4 linked regions of the Caenorhabditis elegans genome follow. The protein of the gene in region 4 interacts with the protein of the main gene of each other region in a pairwise test. Each region holds a gene or a part of one and is shown on either strand. Other genes may lie near its edges.

Region 1 (3,338 bases), on a different chromosome or scaffold from region 4:
AAAATGAGAACTAGTATTTCTTGAGAAATTTCCCTTTTTTTTAAAGAAGAAAATAGACATTTTAATTTTAAATAATCTGTAATAATCACTATTTCTTCTCGAACTCGATTTTTTTTAAAAATTCTGTCAACTTATTAATTTTCGAAATTAGGGGGAGCTTGTTGAGTATGTTTTGGTAAAAGTTACCAAGAAAAACGACTAAATTGAAATTTTAAAAAAACCTTCAATTATTCTCAAAAACGGTCTAAATTTTTATTCTTCAGCTGACTGCATCAATCATTGGAGACGCAGTATTCTATGGATCAGACAGTCTACTTGCCATGTCAAAACTACATTCACTGGCCGATAAAAATGCATCCGCGTTGCTCGCCACGAATCTTCCAGTTGTTGAGAGAACCCGATACAAGAAGTTCCTTTCTACGATCACGAGGGCTTCGAAGCGAATTTATTAATTGTTTTTTTTGTTATAATATCCATTTTTATGTTGTTGATTGTTCATCTTGTTCTGTTGATTTTTAAGTGTTCAATTAAAAAATTTATTCCAAAAAAACACAAAAGAGTTCAAAAAAGTCAATAGAATCCGCATCCATAACCACCATATCCTCCATACCCGAAATCAAAACCTCCGTATCCATATCCTCCATAAAATCCATTATAATATGGGTCGAACATAACACCACCTCCATAATATGGATAAGGGCTCATGATCACTGGCGGCGGAGCCATGACAACTGGAGCCACCGGAGCAGCACCCATGACCATTGGTTGGGATCCATAGACCACGGGAGCAGCTTGTTGTTGTTGAGGGTAAGCTTGAGCAGGTGCAGCCGGAGTTGCCTGGGGAGCTGCCTGAGGAGCTGGTGTAGGTGCCGGGACTGGGGCTCGCGGAGCAGACTTTCTCTTCTCCACTTCCTTTTCAACCTCTTTCTCCGTTTGGTCGATGCAAGTAAAAAGCTCTGGATCTTCAGGCGTTGGTGATGGCTCCGCAACTCTCTCCGGTGGTTCTGCAATCGTTACTCTCCTATTTTTGGGCTCCACGACTTTCTCAGGAGCTTTCGGTGCTGCTGGAGGTGCGTAGGCCGGTGGAGGTCCCTGTGGGATCCCTTGAGGCTGCTGTCGAGGGTATGCCTGAAAAATCGATATTTTCTTTTATTGATTTTCGGAAAATTATCGATTTTCCCTACCATTTGCTCTGTCGAGGCGTTTGGAGATGGTTGAGTGTGCTGACGATTCTGAAAAGTTGAGGTACAAGGAGGAGTTCTTGAGCTTGACTTCAAGGCGACCTTCGTCTGCCTTGTGTCTATTCAGTTTTTTTTATGGAACCCGGAACAGGGATTATAGGCAGGCACGGTCACCTCATATGAAACTTGGAGACTTACCATTTGGTCCGAGCGTTGGTTGTTCCGTTGATTATTTCTAGCTTTCTTCGATTGACAGCATCCCATTTTTCATCGATATATTTGAGTTCTTTTGATTATAAAGTAAGTTGGGAATAAAATTTTTTAGCGGCAAGTTTGAACATTTGAAAAATAAATCATTTCCAAAAAAATAACTGCAAGGCGTTCACGCAGAAATGGAAGCGGCCGACACTTTCCTTTTTCTAATGCCAGCAGTCGACACTTCCCGTGGATAAATTTTGGTGGATCAATTTGCCAGTTTCGGACCGATTAACTAATTTTTAGAAAACAATCTCAGACTATTTTTATTGCAAAAAAAGGATCAATTATCAATTATTTCTTATCGGAAATATTTTCAAGTCACTTCATCTTCTTCTTACTTTTCATTTGACATCTCGATTAAAACATAAACGGATCACAATAGAATGGATCACCGTAGTACATTCCACCTCCATAACATGGATAAGGATCCACAATGACCACTGGCGGAGGAGCAGCCACTACGACTTGCTGTTGCGGTGGATAGTATGGCTGTTGAGCCCCATACGCAGGAGGCGGTTGTGGCTGGTACGGGAGACCTGGAGACGGTTGTTGACGTTGAGGTTGTGGAGGCTTCTGTCCATTGGGAGGTGGAGCTTGTTGCTGCTGCTGCTGTCGAGGTGGAGGTGGAGGTTGATTCCTATTCTGAGGTTGATTCTGGGCAGGATAGGGGCCTGATTGGGTTCCGGTTTGATTCTGAAAATATAGTTTTTGAGACGAGGAATCTCTAAAAATGAATGCTGTCGAGATTGTAAAAGGTGTGCAAAACTATAGTGACTCTACAGTAACCAGGTAATAAACCTGCGCCAACCGTACCCCTAACAACACGTAGTACTTTGGTTTCAAAAGAGTTCGCAGCGAAAGCTGATGCAAGCTTAAGCGTACAAGTACAGTATTACTACAGTAACACTGTAATTACAACGATGAGCTACCGTAATCTTGCAATAAACCTATGAAACCCGCTACCGTACCACTACAGTAAACCAATCGAAACTTGGTTCTGCAGAGCGTAATCCTACAGTACCTACCATTTGTTGTCCATTTCGATTTGAATTCCTACTATTCTGCTTGTTTTTTGAACCGCAGCATCCCATTTTCTCACGGCTTTCAGAAATGAATTTCTTTGAGTTTGAAATTGATTTTTGGAAAGTTTTACACGTAAATGTTAAACTTTTCGACTTTTTAAATTATTTTTTTCCAGATTTTTATTATTATTATTTAGGCACGAATGAAGTTCAATTTGAGACAGCTAACATTCACGAAAATAGGGGTTAACAAGGAAGGCGCGAAGGCAAACACAGGTAGGCACGAGGGAGTGAGATAGGCGGATAGGCTTGTAGGCTCAAAATGGTGTATGGACCTGAAAATGTTGATAATAACGCTGATAAAAACGTTGATAAAAACGATAGAATTGTACTGTAGTTTTTATTGAATATCATCAATTCGTAGAAATCTCGGTATATCACCAATACATACACATACACCTATATATATAAATGAATAAATAAATGCAGCGGTATGCACACCCGTTCGGTAAGCAATCCAAGTAGTTCATCCGGTATTAAATGTGGGAGAAGGTAGGGTACCATGAAAGAAGCTTAAACTCTCATTCGGAACCCGTCGTTGTTTTCTTCTTCTTCTTCTTGATTATTGTCAGCTCCCTCAGCTTCTGGTTCATCGGGCTCACAAGTTGTCGTTGGTTCCTCAGTTGTTGTAGATGTTGTGGTGGATTCCGTTGTTGTAGTCGGAGCCTCGTAGTTCTTTGGCATGTAGCAGAGCCCTTGGTAGCAGGCTGGAGCATTTGCTGGGCAGTTGGAGCATTTTCCATTGTCACCGGAAGCCCAGGTGAAAGCTGGCATCTGGAATAAGGAGTTCAGTGAAAATTAATATTTAATTTTTGGT
Region 2 (8,037 bases), on a different chromosome or scaffold from region 4:
TGGAAATGCTCAAAATTCGACTGCTGAAAATGGTGCTGAAACTGATGGTGTTGCTTCAGCTTCAGATCCTCCTCCTACTGCTGCTCCTGGAGCTCCACCGCGACGCCGAAAACGCAACTTTTTCTCGTGTATCTTTCGTTCTCGTACCGATAGTGCTTAGAAGATTCTGTGTTAAATGCTGAAAATTTGAGGAAATTTGGCTGAAAATGAGCTGAAAATCATTTTGGTCTGCTACAGATTTGTGTAGTTTGTAGTCTGGCCACCTAGCCTCAAATTTATGAAATTTTGACATTTTTAGCGAAAAAATAGTGATGGTCTGCTAAATATTTTTGTAGTTTGTAGTCTAGCAGACCCAAATCAAGCGTATGGGTCTGCCAGACTACAAACTACACTTTTCGACTGAATTTCACGATTTTTAAGAGATTTTTAAGAGATTTTCTTAGTTTGTTTCCTGTGAAAATTTACGAATTTTTATCGAATTTTCCTGAAAAATACGATTTTTTTTTCGTTTAAAAGTTCGAGTTTTTACACTCAAAAAATCAACAAAAAAAACGCCGATTTCTCAGTTTTCGCAAATTTTTGCTCAATATCCCTTGAAAAATACGAAAATTGGCTTAAAAACGTGTAGTTTGTAGTCTAGCAGACCCATACGCGGCGATTTGGGTCTGCTAGACTACAAACTACACAAAAATATTTCGCAGACCCATCATTTTTTCGGCAAAATTTAGCTTTTTTGCGTTTTTAACCGGAAATGTGTGCGGATTTTCGGCATTTTTTCGGATAAAAAACTCAAATTTTTCACAAAAAATTCGATTTTTTGGGTTTTTTCCCGAATTTCAAAGTGTTTTCTGGTAAAAAAATCGATTTTCCACTCCATTTTTCCCCATTTTTCCTCGAGTTTTCAGCATATTTTATTGATTGCTCAAGCTTCTTTGTCTTTTCTAACCGATTAACACTGTTTGTGTGTAGTAAACGTGCTCTATCGCCACCTTTTCTCAGGTTTTTTTTCTTAAAATTTTAATTTATTCACAAAAGTCCCTTCTTCACCTGTTCATGTATACAACCTGTGTGTCTATTACTTAATTCTTCTTTAAACATTATGATTATGATTATTGTAGCAACAAAAAAAAACTTAATTTTCCGGCAGTTTCTCGATTTTTTTTCGGTTTTTTTTCGTTAGAAACCCCCCAAATTCGTCATATCTTTATTTTTTTGCTCTTTTTTCTTCGAAAATTTAACTATTTATTGATTTTTTTTTCCTCCGCCATCGTGCTTTAGACACCGACACACCATATATATATATTTTATAAAAATTTCTGCTGAAAATTTCTGAATTTTCATATATTTTTTCACAATTTTTTTTTGGTTTCAACTCCAGAAATATTTGTACTTTTTTTTTTCTGTTTTTCGTCTTTGTTTTTTGTAGTTTATAGTATCCTGATATAGACTACAAACTACAATACCTTTCTTTTTCTGTAGTTTGTGACTTGGTCTGGCAGACTACAAACTACGATATTTCGCGAAAAATTGCGTTATTTTTTTTTTAAATTAAAATCTCAAAAACTGCTCATAATGATATTGCGAATTTGATTTTTTTTTCTACAAAGAAAAACCAATTTTTGTGTAGTTTGTAGTCTAGCAGACCCAATATCAAAAGAATTTTTTTAATACAAAAAAATAGAAAAATTAGAAAAAGAATTCGTTTTTAAATCACGTTTCCTTTAAAAAATCTAACGAAAATCACTCAAATTTTGGAAATATTTACCCGATGGGTCTGCCAGCGTTTTTTGTAGTTTGTAGTCTAGTAGACCCAAACTCCAAATTTTTTGATTTTTGGCCTTTCGAAGCGTTTTTTTTTTGATATTTTTTTCTTAAAAAAGGCAAATAATCACTTTAAATTATGCAAAAAACACGTTTTTTAACTGATTTTTTCTCCAAAATTCTTAAAAAACCGTTTTTTTTTTCCGAAATTTTTCTTGCCAGTCAAAGAAAATCAACGAAATTTAACGCTTTTTTTTTGCAGAAAAAAAATGGGTGAACCAAGACGTTACGGGTTCCAACAGCCGCCGCCGCCGCCAAATTGTTGTGAAGATGGTGGTGGAATAGAAGATGGACTAATTCGAGATTCTGGACTAAATCGGGCCGGATCTGGATCCGGTGGAAGGCCTGTCAGCTCGACTTCTAATGAAAGCTGGAGAAATGTTCCATGGGGACCACCGGGCAGACAGGTCATTAGTTTTGTTCGAGAGGACTTCAAAAAAATTGTAGTTTGTAGTCTGGCAGACCCATTTTCTGAATTTGGGTCTGCTAGACTACAAACTACACGTTTAATCCACGTGTTTCTTTTTTGAAAATTTATAACAAAAATTTTGACGTTTTTAAACGAAAAAATCGTATTTTTCGTTAAAATTCCATAAAAATTCGCTAATTTTCACAAAAAAATCGTAGTTTGTAGTTTGGCAGACCCAAATCGAGCGTACTACAAACTACACTTTTTACTGTACAAAAATATACATTTTTAGGCTATTTCCTCAGTTTTTTTGTTGTAAAAATTGGCTAATTTTTATGGAATTTTCCTTAAAAATACGATTTTTTTTTCGTTTAAAAGATCAATTAAATCGTGGATTTTATTTAACTTTTGAATTCCAGAATTTCAGTGAAAAATTCAATTTTAGCATAAAAACCCGGAATTTCGGCGTAATCTCTCAAATTTTCGATTGGTCTGCTAGCGTTTTTTGTAGTTTGTAGTCTAGCAGACCAAATTTCTGAGAGTAGGTCTGCTAGACTACAAACTACAAAACGTATTTGGCAGACCCATATTTTTTTCGACTGAATGTTGCGTTTTCATGTGAAAAAAATAAAAAAGATTTAGAGGGAAAAAACTCGGTTTCGTACAGAAAATTAATAAAAAATGGGGATTTTTCGTTTTTTCAGACGGTTTTTCGGCGAAAATTGTGATTTTACTCATATTTCTCTGTAAAAATCGATTTTTCAGTCAATGTTCGTGAATTTTCATATTCAAATTGCGAGAAAATTCAAAATTTGGATTTTTCCAGCGAGAAAAAATCAGGAAAACTGCCCAAAATCACAGCGAAATTGACGATTTTTACCTAGTTTTATGGTCTGCCAGACTACAAACTACACAAAATGTATTTAGCAGACCCAAAAAAAAAAATTTCGCGATTTTTTTTTTAATTTTTTCTTGTATTTTTGACCAATTAGCATTAAAATTCGCTAATTTTTCCCCCCAATTCCGAAAAAAAAATTGATTTTTCTCAAAATTTCCCAATTTCCTCCCCCGCTAATGGCCATCTGCTCTCCGAATAACACACTTGGCACGCTGCCAAGTGTCTACCAACAAATCCCATCGATTTTCGCGGTTGGTGAGGGACGAAAAATCCAATTTCCATGAAATTTCTGCCGTTTTTTTTCTAGATTTTCCATGAAAAAATCGGATTTCAATGCCAAATATCCGGAATTTTTGCCATTTTTATTTCAGATTTTGCAGATATTTCACCCTAAAACTATCCGGAATTTTAATATCGGAAACCATTAAAACAATTCTTTTTACAGGGTCCCGCTGTTCACCAACATCATCAAATGGTTCAAGTACATACACGTCGGCTCGGCGGAGCAGCACCAACAATGCACCATAGTAGGCCACCGCCGCCGCCTTTGGACCGACGCCCGATGTCACCTCAAAACGCCTCAAGACCGCTTCCCGTCCGTGGTACAAATTATTCAACGAATGGAGATTGGCCTGATCAACGTCCGACGATTATTCAACAATCGTCAAGAATTAATTCGTTTCCGAATAGACCTGTAGCTAATAATAGTTATCACAATGAGAATATACCATTTAAGGATATTATTCTGGAGGTACTTGGAAATTTGAAAATTTTTAAGCGGCGCGTCGCGGTTGCGTCGCGTTTTTTTTTTTTGAATTTTTGAAAAGGGTAATATGGGTTTTGAATTGAACACACTGTTGAATTGGAGCAGTTCACGCAATTAATAATTGCCGGATTTGGAAATTTTCGGCAAATTTGATAATTGCCGGTTTTGGAAATTTTCGGCAAATTCGATAATTGCCGGTTTTGTAAATTTTCGGCAAATTTGATAATTGCCGGTTTTGTAAATTTTCGGCAAATTCGATAATTGCCGGTTTTGGAAATTTTCGGCAAATTTGATAATTGCCGGTTTTGTAAATTTTCGGCAAATTCGATAATTGCCGGTTTTGGAAATTTTCGGCAAATTTGAAAATTGCCGGTTTTGGAAATTTTCGGCAAATTTGATAATTGCCGGTTTTGGAAATTTCCGCCAAATGTGACAATTGCAAAAAATTGAATTTTTCATGAAAATTCGCTAATTTTCACACGAAACATTGAGAAAATTGGCGAAATTCAGTATGATTCAAAAAATTTAAAATTGTGTAGTTTGTAGTCTAGCAGACCCAAATCAAACAAACGGGTCTGCCAGACTACAAACTATACATTTTCGACAGAATGTTAGTGTTTTTAATGATTTTTTTGCGGGAAATATCTCAAAATTTGCATTTTCTCGGAATTTGAATGTGAAAATTCACCAAAATTGACTCAAGCAATCAATTTTCACACAGAAAATATTGAAATTCGGTAGAATAAAACCCCATTTTTCGCCGAAAACCCCGTCTGAAAATCCAGAAATCCACATTTTCTATCGATTTTCTGTGGGAAACTGAGTTTTTTTTTCCCAAAAATCTGCTAATTTTCACTTGAAAATGCAAAATTTTGACGAAAAAAAGATATGTAGTTTGTAGTCTAGGTTACAAACTACAGTGTTTTGAAAAAAAAAAAAAACTGGAAAATTCAGTAAAAACTGGTTAGTTGGCAGACCCAATGGGTCTGCTTGCTGGACTACAAACTACAAAAATATTTAGCAGACCAAAATGGTTTTTTGCTATTTTTTCGCCAAAAATGCCGAATTTTCTATTGAAAAAACACAGACTCTAAACTACAAAACTGTTTTTTCGCCAGTTTTTACTAGTTTTTCAGCAAAAAATGACTTGAAATTACCGATTTGGGGGGATTTTTTTCGGAAATTCACCCAAATAAACCCGATTTTTTGCAGTTACACGAGCACACTGTCCCATTCATCGATTCACATTGCCACGTTGATTTCATGTACAACCAAATGGTTCATAATAATCCGAATTCATCACTCAGTCATGGCCTATCGCATTGGATTCATCGATATCCATATGGATTTCCGAAATCTTTTTATGGAGTCATTGCGAATTTCATTAAACCTTCGCTTTTTGTTGTGAATGATGGTGGTGGTGGAAATGGATATGATATAGATTGGATTATAAATGAAATTGAATCGAATATCTACTTGGGAACCACTTGGGGATGTCATCCACATTATGCACAAGAGTATGTGTCACTTCTTGGTGTAGTTTGTAGTCTGGCAGACCCAATTTTTTTAAAACGTTTTAGTGAAAGAAGTTGAAGTGAAAATTAAAAATTTTTTTTTTTTGAAAATTGAAAAAAAAAACATAATTTTTCGGCTATTCTTTTTGGAAAAAAATAATAAAAATCGAATTTAATACATTTTTCAATTTTTTTTTGCAAAGAAAATTTGCAAGTTTAACCTTTTTTTATTAAAAATGTACAGAAAATGCACCTTGAAATTAAAAAAAAATCAATTTTTTCCTCCTAAATTGATATTTCTCACTGAATTGTTTGGCTTTCAGGGGAATGTTCTAAAATAGTCAAAAAATCACTTTAAATAATGAAAAAAAACACATAATTTTTGGAACTGATTTTTCCACCAAAATTTTGAAAAAAAAAATCCTTTTTCCCCAAAAATTAAAAATTTTTTGCACTTTTTCCCAATTTTCTTTAAAAAAAACGGGAAAATTTCTCCAAAACTCGTTAAAAACCCAAATTTTCGAAATATCCGATGGGTCTGCTACCGTTTTTTTGTAGTTTGTAGCCTAGCAGACCGATCTACAGAATTTAAAAATTCGACAAAAGATAATATCAGATTGCTTTGGCGAGGATTTTTATTTTATACACACTGATTATTTAAAAATTGAACAAAAAAGTTGTAGTTTGTAGTTTGTAGGCCTGCTAGACTACAAACTACAATTTTCTGTCGAAAATGTTCTATGACGTATGCCAAACTACAAACTACACATGCTTTTGTAGTTTGTAGTCTATCATCAAATAATTACAGATGGGCTTCAAAAGACATCTTCTGGCAGACGCTTGAGCACATTTTATCGAATGCAGCCACGTGGAAGGTGTTGGCCGTCGGAGAGTGTGGACTAGATTTACACCGTTGTATATCGGATCTAGAAGTACAGAAAATGGTATTTGAGAAGCATATCGATTTGGCATACAAGTATCAATTACCATTAGTCATTCACTGCAGAAGTGGACAAAAAGGACGTGCAGAAGAACAATGCCTGCGTATTTTGAAGAAGGTAGCCGCGGAAAATTCGCAAAAAATGGTGGAAAAATCGTGTTTTTTGGAGAAAATTGACGTATGGGTCTGCTAATGAATTTTTGTAGTTTGTAGTCTAGCAGACCAAAAATCATCAATTTTCAGCGAATTGTTCGATTTCTGCTGTCTCGAAGCGATTTTTTTTTGAATGTTTCCCATTAAAAAAGTGTTTAAACGAGTTTTCCTCCAAAATTTTGTGAAAATTTGAAATTTTTGCCGATTTTGGGTATGGTCTGCTAAATATTTTTGTAGTTTGTAGTCTGGCAGACCAATATTCTCGGATTTTTTTTGGAAATTGAAAAAATATTTTTTGAAAAGTTTTTGAAGTTTTTATGAATCCGATTTTTGATGATTTAAATCGATTTTTTTGCAAAAAAAAATCTAAAAAGTGTAGTTTGTAGTCTAGCAGACCAAAATATTTCCAAGCAACGTTGAAAATTTGCAAAAAAAATTGACTTGGGTCTGCTAATTAAGATTATGTAGTTTGTAGTCTAGAATGTTAATTTTATATAACTTTTCTGAAATTTCTGATTTAGAAATCAGAAAATTGCCGAAAAACCGCAGAGCTTACTTTTTTCTCAAATTTCTTAGACAAAAAACCTAAAAATATGGGTCTGCTAGAGTTTTTTTGTAGTTTGTAGTCTGGCAGACCCAAATTCATTTCTGAGATTTTTTTGTGCCCAAAAATTGAGACATTTTCGAAATAATTTTAAAAACAAATTTTGGAAATAGGAATTTAATTGAAAAATCCGATTTTTGAAAATTAAATAGATATTTTGCAATTGGGTCTGCTAAAAAAGTGTAGTTTGTAGTCTGGCAGACCCAAAATTTGCAACAAAAAAAACTGAAAAACTACATTTTTCGAGAAACTACAAGGACATTTCTCTCATTTTTGAAGACTACAAACTACATAATGTTCTTTCTTTGTTTTCATTGTGTAGTTTGTAGTCTTAAATTTTTTTCAAAAATCAAAATTACCCCGGAAATTTCAATTTTTGCTGCAAAAAAAAATTCAGAAATTTAAATTATTGTGTCTGCTAAAAAGGTGTAGTTTGTAGTCTGGCAGACCCAAATATTTCCAGTTTTTTTTCCATATAAGTATCTAAATAATTTCAGAAAATGGACGAAAATCATAAATTCCTGAAAATCCACCGTCATTGCTTCACAGAGACTTGGGAAGTGGCACAAATGTGGATGAAACAGTGTCCGAACGTCTATTTTGGTGAGGAAACCCGAAAAAATGCAACAAAATTGATTGAAAAAGTGTGTAGTTTGTAGTCTAGCAGACCTAAAACCGATGTTTTGGTAAATTTCGATTTTTAACATTTTTCTCATAGAAATCAATTGCAAAAAACCGAAAAATCCAATTAAATTGGTCTGCCAGTGATTTTTTGTAGTTTGTAGTCTAGCAGACCCAAACTCCATTTTTCGCTATTTTTTTCAATTCTAGTGTTTCTAGTGTGTTTTTTGTAATTTTTTGATGAAATAGCGTTAAAATTTGCTAGTTTTCCCCACAATTTTGTGAAAAATTCTATTTTTTCTACCAAATTT
Region 3 (4,780 bases), on a different chromosome or scaffold from region 4:
AAAAATATTATTTATCTAACCAAAAGTAAACTACCGTATTTCTTCTATTAATATGGCTGCAATACTATTTTTCGATGGTCTTCCCGCTTGCAATACTAATAGGGAGTGCAAGACTATTAGGGAGTGCAATACTAATTTTCAGAACATTTTTCTGACTTTGAGCTTACTATTTTTTTCTGAAAAAAACTCGTATCTTATGTAAAAATTCAGAAAATTTGATTGCAATTGCAACAAAAAGGTACAATAACTTCAATTCCATAGAAATTTTACCAAAAATTTGTTGCAAAGTAGGCAAAAAATGTTGTAAAAATCTCAAAATTCAAAGGTGCAATACTAATAGGGAGTGCAAGTCTAATAGGGAGGCCATATTAATAGAAGAAATACGGTATTCTGAATTCCGCTCGTTAGTATCTTTTTATTGAAAGTTTTCAAAAGAGATTTATAATTTTCAAATAAAAATTCTAAGAATTTTACAATTCTTTCAAGTTATCAAGTTTTTGGATGTAGAACTACGTTTGCACTATATTTTCCAGAGATTCATACCGAAAAAGTTCTAAAAGTCAATTTCCGTTAGGAAACCTCACCTCAATTTCCTCCCACCCATTATTATTCAAGATGAGCACTCCCACCCGTGAGCCACCACAAAAACACATTATTTGGCAGTTTCTAATCCCCTACAAATCCCCCTTGAAAATGATTTTGATCTGATTTTGAGCTTTTCGCAGAAATAATTGGAAATGTTTGAGAAAATGGATGGAAACTGCATATTATCAGTGATATTTAGTTGTTAATTCATGCTTATTTAGTTGCCTGTTTCATAGAAAATTGGTGATAAAGTTGTCATACGGTAGGAAGTAGGACATGATTGGAAAAACTAGATTACTGTAATTCGAAGAGTCATTTTAAATTTAATTTTTTGAACTCTATAAGCTACTAATTTTGCCTAGGTTCAACAAATTTTGGGTCCCACCGCGAAGACTGGAGTTCAGTTTGAAATGTTAATTTTCATGTTTCAATGCACTTTTAAGCTATAATAAACGAGAGATTCCGTTACAAGACCCACAGTTGTAAAATTGACGTTATGTAACTTACAATTAGACGAGAAGATACATAAAAGTGGAAATACCGAATTTTTTTTTGAATTACTCGCAATAGAATTTTTATTTTTATTGCAAGAATACGCAAGAAACACCCGCAAATTGAATTATAACGGGCTTTAACTTCCTCCCTTCTTGCTTCCTCCACGTTTTCTTTGAACCTCTGCTTCACCTCAGATTTCTTTGTTTACATTTATTTGGTATCTCTTATCTCTGCATAGATAAAAGCTTGGAAATTCTTTTAATTTTTAAATACCTTCTTCTTTTTCTTATTCGAACTATTATACCTTTTCAAAAAATAGGCCTATTATGTATTTATATTCATTTTTATGTTTTTTATTGCGAAATTTCGTCTCGTTTTTTGGTTCTCAAAAGGCGGGGCTTAGCATTGAATGGGGGAGAAGGACATTCGTGGGCGGAGACTCTAAAGCAGCTGAAGCTTACCCACTGCTCCATTTTCATGCAAACTCTGCTCTTTTTTGGTAGTACTACTTCTTGAATCCTATTTTTTTAAATTCTCATCCTCTGCTTTTTCTGTGCTTCCAACAAAAACCAAATTTTCAGGTGTAAATGTCAACCGAAAACGACGTTTCAGAAGAGAATAATTCAGAGCTTGACGATGTTGAAGACGCAAAACAAGATGATCGGCGACGATCGACTACGGTAATAATGACAATGAATGTGACGACGGTGCCAGCTACAGAAAGTGAGGGAGTTCGGAGGAATGGAAGTGTTCGAAGACGACTTTCAAAACAGAATGCAACAATTGAAGAGGTGAGCAATTTCAAGGGAAGGTGGGAAATTGTCCCGCGAAGTGTCGGACTTCGAATATGGGTGCCGTTGCTGATGTAGTTCTTGTCCCGTATGGTGTATGCTGCTAAGGTACACAACTTCTTGAAGCCGGCTAAAAGTTATCACTAACCCGTAAAATGTCGGCTGCTTGGAGAATACATTATTTTATTATCATATTGATCAGCTCACTCTCTTGTGAATCATCAGAGGATGATCCGATTTTGTGTCATAGGCCGCGCTGAAAACTGAAATAGTTCCTGTTAGGAAGTCTGCTGAAATTCATATTTTTCACCCAATTTCGAAGAATGTTTGTAAGTTTATAGACAAAATCTGGTCGTTTTCGACTGAAATTTTTTAATTTTTAGCCAATATCTCTCCTGTCAATTTCTGATAGCCCATCAGAAAACTCGGATACTACGGTCCCATGCATAGAAGAGCATCCAGAAGAAGGCAAAGAAGAGGAGAAGCCAGCAGAAAGCAGTGACGTGTCAAAACTCCGCCCACCGGGTCTCGCACAGAATAAACTGTGGTCCACATCGAAATCGTTAAGCAGAGAGTCCACAGGAACCGAGTACTCGGACAGAAGTGGCATTGATCTAAGGAATTTTGTGGATCGCACGTTACACAAGAGTGAAGAAGATCGGAAGCAGCTTCTGGAGTTCGAAAAACAACTCAAAGAACTTATTTTAGATGATAGGTTCGTTTTTGTTAAAATTTCAGTCTGAAATTGATAATTTTCAGCACACAATCGAAAAGATTCGAGCTTCCATCATCCTATCACCGAATGCTTCTTCACAGGTGTGCCGCGTGGTTTGGTCTTGATCATAATGTTACGAATAAGCAGACCGATATTGTTGTGAACAAGTCAGAGAAAACCAAAATGTGAGTTGATTAATTTTCGGATGTATGTATCATGAAAATCATAATATTTTGTCTGTTTTAGTTTAGCCCCTTTATTTGGTCTTGTCAGATTTTAACTAGAAAAGTAACAAATTTCCAGTCCTGATGACAACTTCACCGACTACATCCGGCACGATAATTACGTAGAAGACCGACTGAAACGACAAAACACTTGCGGATCCCGCAAGGAACTTCACCATATGGAATCATTCGGTGATCATTCGACGAGTCAATATGGAAGTCAAGCAAGTCTTAATCATGATCTACTCATGATGCGAAGGGCACAATCATTTGACGTGGCAGCAGTCACTGGACCATCAGTTATTCAACCTCAATCTCCACATCATGTTCGAGGTCTTCCGATGCGACAACTTTCACTCAACTGCCCACAACAATCAATGGTTACTGCACCAATGAGTGGACCACAGGGACATCAATGGGCACCGCAAAGATCATTTGATTGCTCCAATAATAGTTATTTGTGCACTGGAAAACATCCAATGATGAGGGTGAGTATCAGAGTTCGCCTGAAAAATCGATTTTTCAAAAAAGAAACAGCGTCGAGTTTTACTTTCTCACGATCGCTAAGCTACAAGATTTTGAATCAATATATGATTGAGATTGAACGTGTGGCCGTCAATATCTGTGAGCTTCAGCCATGTCGATTTACGAGTATCTCTCATACATTTCATAAGTTTCCATAAGTTTCCGAGTTTCGAAAAATTTAAGATCACATGCCGTGGGCGCAAAAAACGCTTCTCAAACTCTAACCTCTAAATTTTCCAGAAAGCAGAGAGCTTCGGAGGAATGGCAAACGGAATATCACATGGCTGTTACGAGCAAAGTGTGCCAGTAGTTTGTGGAACACCTCCATCAGTGATGGTTCATCACCACCACCACCACGCTCACATCCAACAACCTCCAACCTCCAACTATACAGGCTATCAGGTATTCGAAGAAATGTCAATGCCATCATCAAACTACCAAGAGCCTGGAATGTGCTCCCCGGGAGGAACCTACTATGAGTATGTACCTCAACCAGTAGTTCAACCACAACAGTACGCTCGTCCAATTCGGTACATGCCACAAGATTACCGAAGACCTCAAGGAGTTCAGTATATGTATGGACCACCACCACCACAACAATATATGCAATACCAGCCAATGGTTCATCCGGAAGTTGAAGTTATTGTAGATCCAGTTCAAACTCAACCCTTTCCACAAGTCAGTCACTTTGTACTGCCTGATCAACAACAGGGATACTCATCAAGCCATCAAGCAGAGACAGCAAATAGTTTTATAAAGGTAAGGTTGAAGATGAGGAAATGAATTGATGGTTGTTGAAAATAGAACAACGATTTAGGCAAGCATTGATGGTGGATATGGAAGCATGAATCAAGACGTCGAGAATGCTGAAAAGGTCGAGGAGGTCTAAACCTTTCCCCCCCCCCCCCCCCCCCCCTCCCGTTGTCTCTTTAAATGGTATTTCTTCTTTCTAGCCATCCCCTTGTAGATTGTGATAAAACCCCACGAAAAGACGATATCGCCAAACATCTGGATAATTACGATTATATGAACATGATTCGAAGTACGGATTTTCAATTTTTTCTAGTCAACTTGTAGATTTCTTTCTCTCTCTCAATCCTTGTCATCTTTTTTTTTCTTTCGCTCTTTTGATATCGAATAAATTGATTTTCAATGCCGCTAAATAACCGCTAAACTCAATCATAAGACTTTGACATGCATTTTTAAAGGAGCAAGCATTTATTCAGAAGTGTCTTGGCACGAGAAAAGGTTCATGGTAAATAGCCATTGTTTAAATTTTTCGGCTGCCTCCAAGTTTACTTTCCTTAATTCCTTGCATTCTTCATTGAAATTACCTCGTCTTTAGAAAATTTTATGTTTTGTTTTCATTTTTCCGTTTAAAATGCTTTATTACGGGAACAAACAATTCTGAGAATGCATATTGCGCAACACATTTGACGCGCAAA
Region 4 (4,601 bases):
GGCAATTTGGAAAAAAATAAAGTAAAAATAACACACGTGAAACGAGTGTTACCGTACTCCTCTGTCCCACCGGGACATGAGAGCAATGTCTGCGTCTCTGACTGGTTTTACACTGCGGAGCGGCTGCGTCACGGTCTTCAGACGCGCGGTTTGCTTCGCTTGCAAGTCGTCTCGTGTGATTTTCGAAAACATTAATGCTGGTGTCCGCCACGACGGCACTCCGGAGAATTCATATACTCATTTTCTGTTTCTTTTTTGTGGCACAAACTTCTAACAAACATTTTAGGTGAATTTGGCGAAAAAGAATATGGGAGTAAAATTAAATGATCCGACTGGGCGAAAGCTTATGTAAAAGCCAGAAAAACGTGTGCAATCCCTTGAAAATTAATTGCAGAGAAGGTGAAGAGAATTTGAAGAAATTATACTCTGAAATATTCTGAAAATTGGAGGTATTTGATAAATATTCAAAGCTCAATAAAGCTGGTAATCGCTCGGAAAAATGAACGTTGGAAATTTAATCTAGTGTCAAATTCGATTGTTTCGAAAAAATTTGCTAATTTTAGGTGAATTAGTCTAGCTATTTCCAGTTTTTGTTAAATTTGCCACGCTACGTTCAATTTCTTTAGATATTATTTTCCTTGTAACGCGCCTAGCCCAAAACGTGTTTCGTAACGAAATTCGTATTCGTAAGCCCATTTCCCTTGATCGATATTCAATGTTAGAGTGTGTAAACTGAAGAGACGCTGCCGATTAGTAGAGTTGTTTGCGCTGAGAGAGAGAAATGACGGGGGCCTCTCTTTCCACTCTTCCCTTCTCCCTCGTGGTCGATTTTGACGGGTTGCGATAGTCACTTGAGCGAATAGCAGCAGTATGACAACGCGCTTGCTGTATACATTCTTTCTGTGGTTTTCGTCATCATCAATCCTTTTTCTAACATACAAGAATAGTTTCCAAATGGTAACAAAAAGTTAAGCATAATTGGAGAAAAAATGACGAAAAATTGGTTAATTGAATTTTAACGAGTTTGAAAGATCAACATTGATCTGAAATAGTTCGAAGAATTTAAAAGCAACTGAAAAACTGAAGTTATTGATATGAAAAGACGGTTTGTTTGAGTTCCAGATTTGAGCATTCTAGACTGAAATTCCAACGTTCAAGATTCCAAGAAGCTATACATTTTTATGTTTTAAAGCTTTTCGAAATAGTTGATTTTTAATTCGAGAAAAAATTCATCCCAAAACTCTGTTCAAATTTCCTACATTATGGGCGGAGTCTGCGCGACCAATGGGCGCTCATGCCGTTTCTATCGTAGACAACATGAGAATGCTCCTCCCACTGCAACTGTGACTTGAAAATTGAGAGAACGAACTGAAATATGTAAATAATCACAAAGATCCGGAAAAGGGAATCACGGAGGAAAACATGAATTTTCATTATCTTTTTATTTCTTTTCTTGCTTTTTATTAGAGCTTGAGAAGTGAACACCGCTTTAACTTTTTATTATGAAAATCCGTAAAACCGGGTATAAATCCAATCATTACAATTATTCTAGATCATGACGGACATCATATCTCAAAATGAAAATAAAGACGATTTCGAAGATGGTGAACTTCCTGAGGACGGTGAAATATGTGATGATGAAGATGAATCTGTAAAAGCAGTGCCCTCCAAATCATCAGAATCAGCTCCAGGTGCTCATATTGCTCCAGCACATCCTGAGAAAACAAGTGGTCGGGATTCACGAGAACGAGTCAGGCGGTTTGAAGGGAATAGTCCTCCGAGAGAGCGAGATCCGGATCCGTTTGGATCTCACAATGATGCTCCGGATGGAAATGGTAAATGTTTCTCTGAATTTTTTGAAAGTCTAACGTCTGATTTGTGAATTAAATTTATCCGATCCGATAATTATCCCGGCAACTGTTTATTCTACGAAATTTAGAGTGTAACCTCTCTTGTTTTTTATTGACGCATTAATAAATGGGAATAATTTTCGAGTGCTGAAAAGGAGAAATTTAATAATTTTCAGATTATTTCGGTGGAGATAAAGACTATCGTAGCGGAGCAGCAGCTTCGTCAGAAGAAGAACCATTCAGTGATACTGATTATCGTGTAAATCGGCGGAGACGCTTATCCCCTTCCCACGACGACGGAGACTTTGACCCGAGATCAAAACGGCCATACTATGGAGGACGAGGAGGATTCCGGGGTGGCTTCCGGAATGGAGCGAAGCCAAGATTTCAAACAGAACATCAGATCTGCAAGTTTTTCCGAGAAGGTTATTGTAGAGACGGTGACAATTGTTTGTACTCTCACCAAGCCGAAGATTCACTGAGACGGCCTGTTCTGTGCAACTTTTATGCTAATAGTTTTTGTAAAAAGGTTAGTTTCAGAAAAAAAAACCAACTTTTCATTTTAAAATACTAATTCTTGTTCAGGGTCTACAATGTCTTATGCTCCATGGAGAATTCCCATGCAAATCCTTCCACAAAGGACAATGCAACCATGATCCATGTAGATTTTCTCACGTTCCCCTGACGGACTATACCCGACCAATCATTGAGAAGATTCTAGCAGACGAAGAAGCCCGGCAGGCTCATCAAGCGCAGCAGGCTCAAACATACAGACAGAATCCAGTGGCAAATGCTGCTGCTGCCGCTGCAGCTGCACAAGTAATGCCAAGAAGGAGAGTTCTCCTCCCTGGAGGTAAGCAGAAAATCGAAATCACTTTTCCATAATAATTATTCAAAAATGTTCAGGCCCTAATATGAATGGTTCATCTCCACCCCACGCAACGCCTGTGATACATGCTCCGATCCCTCAAGCATCTCATCCAAGTCAACTTCCACCACCAGCAGTTGTTGTGCCAACCATTCAACGAAACCCTGGACCAGGAATTCCAATACATCAGCAATACCCTGTTGCTCCAGCAGCTGGAGGATATTTCAATCAAGGGCCACGGCCCGAACAAGTTCAAGGACTTCCACCGCCACGAACAATTGAGCCACCTAGGCTGAGTACTCAAACTCCTCCTATAATGCATCAACAGCAACCACAACTAATGAGGCCTATGCATCCAGTTCCAATTCAACATCCACATCTTCAGCAGCCTGGATTAGTTCAGCCACCGCAAATAGTCTCTCAAGAACGACATACTGCATCACCACAAGGATTCAATTTAGAGGTAAGAATATTGAGAAAGCTTTCATTTAACAATATTTATTTTTCAGGCAATGCTTAACAAGATGGCCAATGGCGAAAAGCTCATATCAAGTCCTCGGAACAACGTGGTCGACGATTCTCCAGCCTCGCCTCCTCCGTCCAACTATTCCAGCATGTTTGGATCATCGAATCGTGTAGCAGTCATACCACAAACAGTGCAAGTCACTTGGGGACTAGTTCGTGTTCAAAGGCGACTTCCGTACTCAAATGTTGAGAACCCTGATCGTATAGCTGCCAATGATCCAAGAAGAGCCAAAGCAATCGCCAAACAGTTTGATGCTTTCAGCTCATTGCTGGGCGCTGGAGGGAATGCCGTATCAGATCCAAGACTTCGGGCACAGAAAGAGAAAAATGATCGTCAACAAAATACAATGCCATTTTCCTCGTGGATGCCTCAAATATCTTAATTTTTATTGTAATTATTCAATGTCTACTGAAAACATTAGTTTATCTTTTAAACAAAACAATTACAAGTTTAGATTCATGTGAGTGTATCACATTTTTCAATCTTTCAATTGATCTGGTCTCTTCATATTGCCTGTTAATGTTTAGTTCTTTCTTAAAGTTTTCATTTATGATTTTGTGAAAAATTTGCAAAACCTTTCCTGTCTTCAACGAGTTTATCTGGACATTTGAGGCTTTTCAAAAAAATTTTCCACTCACAGACGATACTGGTACGATCCCTGTTCCAATCCACTCCCCGAACTGCTGGCATTTTATTTTTAATCAGTTATCAAGTTCCACAAATGATGCTCACTTTTCTGATATGTGTAAAATTGTGTTTCAACCATTTATACTGATGTTTTCTTCACTTCTTTTTAACTTGTATAAGATGAGAACATATTTTGAATGAAGAATGATTTATTAAAACTTGGACTTGTTATTATATTTGAAAAAAATCATCAATTGTAGCCGGAAATGTCAAAAAGAGAGGGTGTTCCTTTCCACTGCACAGATACCTCATTCTGCGCCTCTTCGTCTCACACGCACTCTCGTTTAGCGGCACACACAAAACTTAGTTGACGGCGGAACCTGAAGAGTGTCGGCCGCGCCGTTTTGTTGCCTCAGCACACTTTCACCCTTTCTCCAGTCTTCAGTATGGGTCAATCTCTGATCTGCAACTGAATATGATGAGTTCGGGCGATGATCTTCTGTGATTACATCGCACGGCGAGGTGGGAACGCAATACCCGCCTGCCAGCCCGATTCTGAACCAAGTTGCCTAGAAATATTTTGGAAACATAAGACTCTTTTAGAGTTATTTATATGAATTACATCTTGTTGTGTTCAATTTGATGTGTTTGTTCATTAAAGCTTAACGAACAACATCGTTGACATAAAATACACGATTTCTAAACATATACGAAGTACATGAGGTAAAAA

The links.
Region 1: the proteins of T26A8.4 (region 4) and R02F2.5 interact in a two-hybrid assay, tested with the Caenorhabditis elegans proteins (one large-scale study listed by BioGRID).
Region 2: the proteins of T26A8.4 (region 4) and Y37H2A.1 interact in a two-hybrid assay, tested with the Caenorhabditis elegans proteins (one large-scale study listed by BioGRID).
Region 3: the proteins of T26A8.4 (region 4) and ZK121.2 interact in a two-hybrid assay, tested with the Caenorhabditis elegans proteins (one large-scale study listed by BioGRID).

What each region holds. Positions count from the first base shown.
Region 1 is NC_003281.10:5,477,511-5,480,848, reverse strand, and holds R02F2.5 (Prion-like-(Q/N-rich)-domain-bearing protein), read right to left. Parts: upstream 1,532-3,338; 5' UTR 1,446-1,531; coding exon 1,380-1,445; intron 1,233-1,379; coding exon 1,185-1,232; intron 1,129-1,184; coding exon 571-1,128; 3' UTR 521-570; downstream 1-520. Other genes in the region: R02F2.7 (Myb-binding protein 1A-like protein), read left to right, coding at 264-452; R02F2.6 (uncharacterized protein), read left to right, coding at 1,925-2,167; R02F2.10 (Prion-like-(Q/N-rich)-domain-bearing protein), read right to left, coding at 1,797-2,132, 2,465-2,530; Protein lon-1, read right to left, coding at 3,035-3,295.
Region 2 is NC_003283.11:18,106,246-18,114,282, forward strand, and holds the start of Y37H2A.1 (Deoxyribonuclease TATDN2), read left to right. Parts: upstream 1-2,023; 5' UTR 2,024-2,030; coding exon 2,031-2,228; intron 2,229-2,736; exon of another isoform or gene 2,737-2,797; intron 2,798-3,573; coding exon 3,574-3,879; intron 3,880-5,106; coding exon 5,107-5,411; intron 5,412-6,216; coding exon 6,217-6,466; intron 6,467-7,602; coding exon 7,603-7,708; intron 7,709-8,037. Other genes in the region: Serine/threonine-protein kinase par-4, read left to right, coding at 1-160.
Region 3 is NC_003281.10:5,340,023-5,344,802, forward strand, and holds ZK121.2 (R3H domain-containing protein), read left to right. Parts: upstream 1-1,659; 5' UTR 1,660-1,667; coding exon 1,668-1,871; intron 1,872-2,254; coding exon 2,255-2,586; intron 2,587-2,630; coding exon 2,631-2,771; intron 2,772-2,889; coding exon 2,890-3,298; intron 3,299-3,575; coding exon 3,576-4,094; intron 4,095-4,152; coding exon 4,153-4,224; 3' UTR 4,225-4,237; downstream 4,238-4,780.
Region 4 is NC_003282.8:8,428,445-8,433,045, reverse strand, and holds T26A8.4 (C3H1-type domain-containing protein), read left to right. Parts: upstream 1-1,552; 5' UTR 1,553-1,555; coding exon 1,556-1,835; intron 1,836-2,026; coding exon 2,027-2,379; intron 2,380-2,435; coding exon 2,436-2,703; intron 2,704-2,756; coding exon 2,757-3,181; intron 3,182-3,227; coding exon 3,228-3,626; 3' UTR 3,627-4,085; downstream 4,086-4,601. Other genes in the region: tmem-231 (Transmembrane protein 231), read right to left, coding at 4,534-4,601.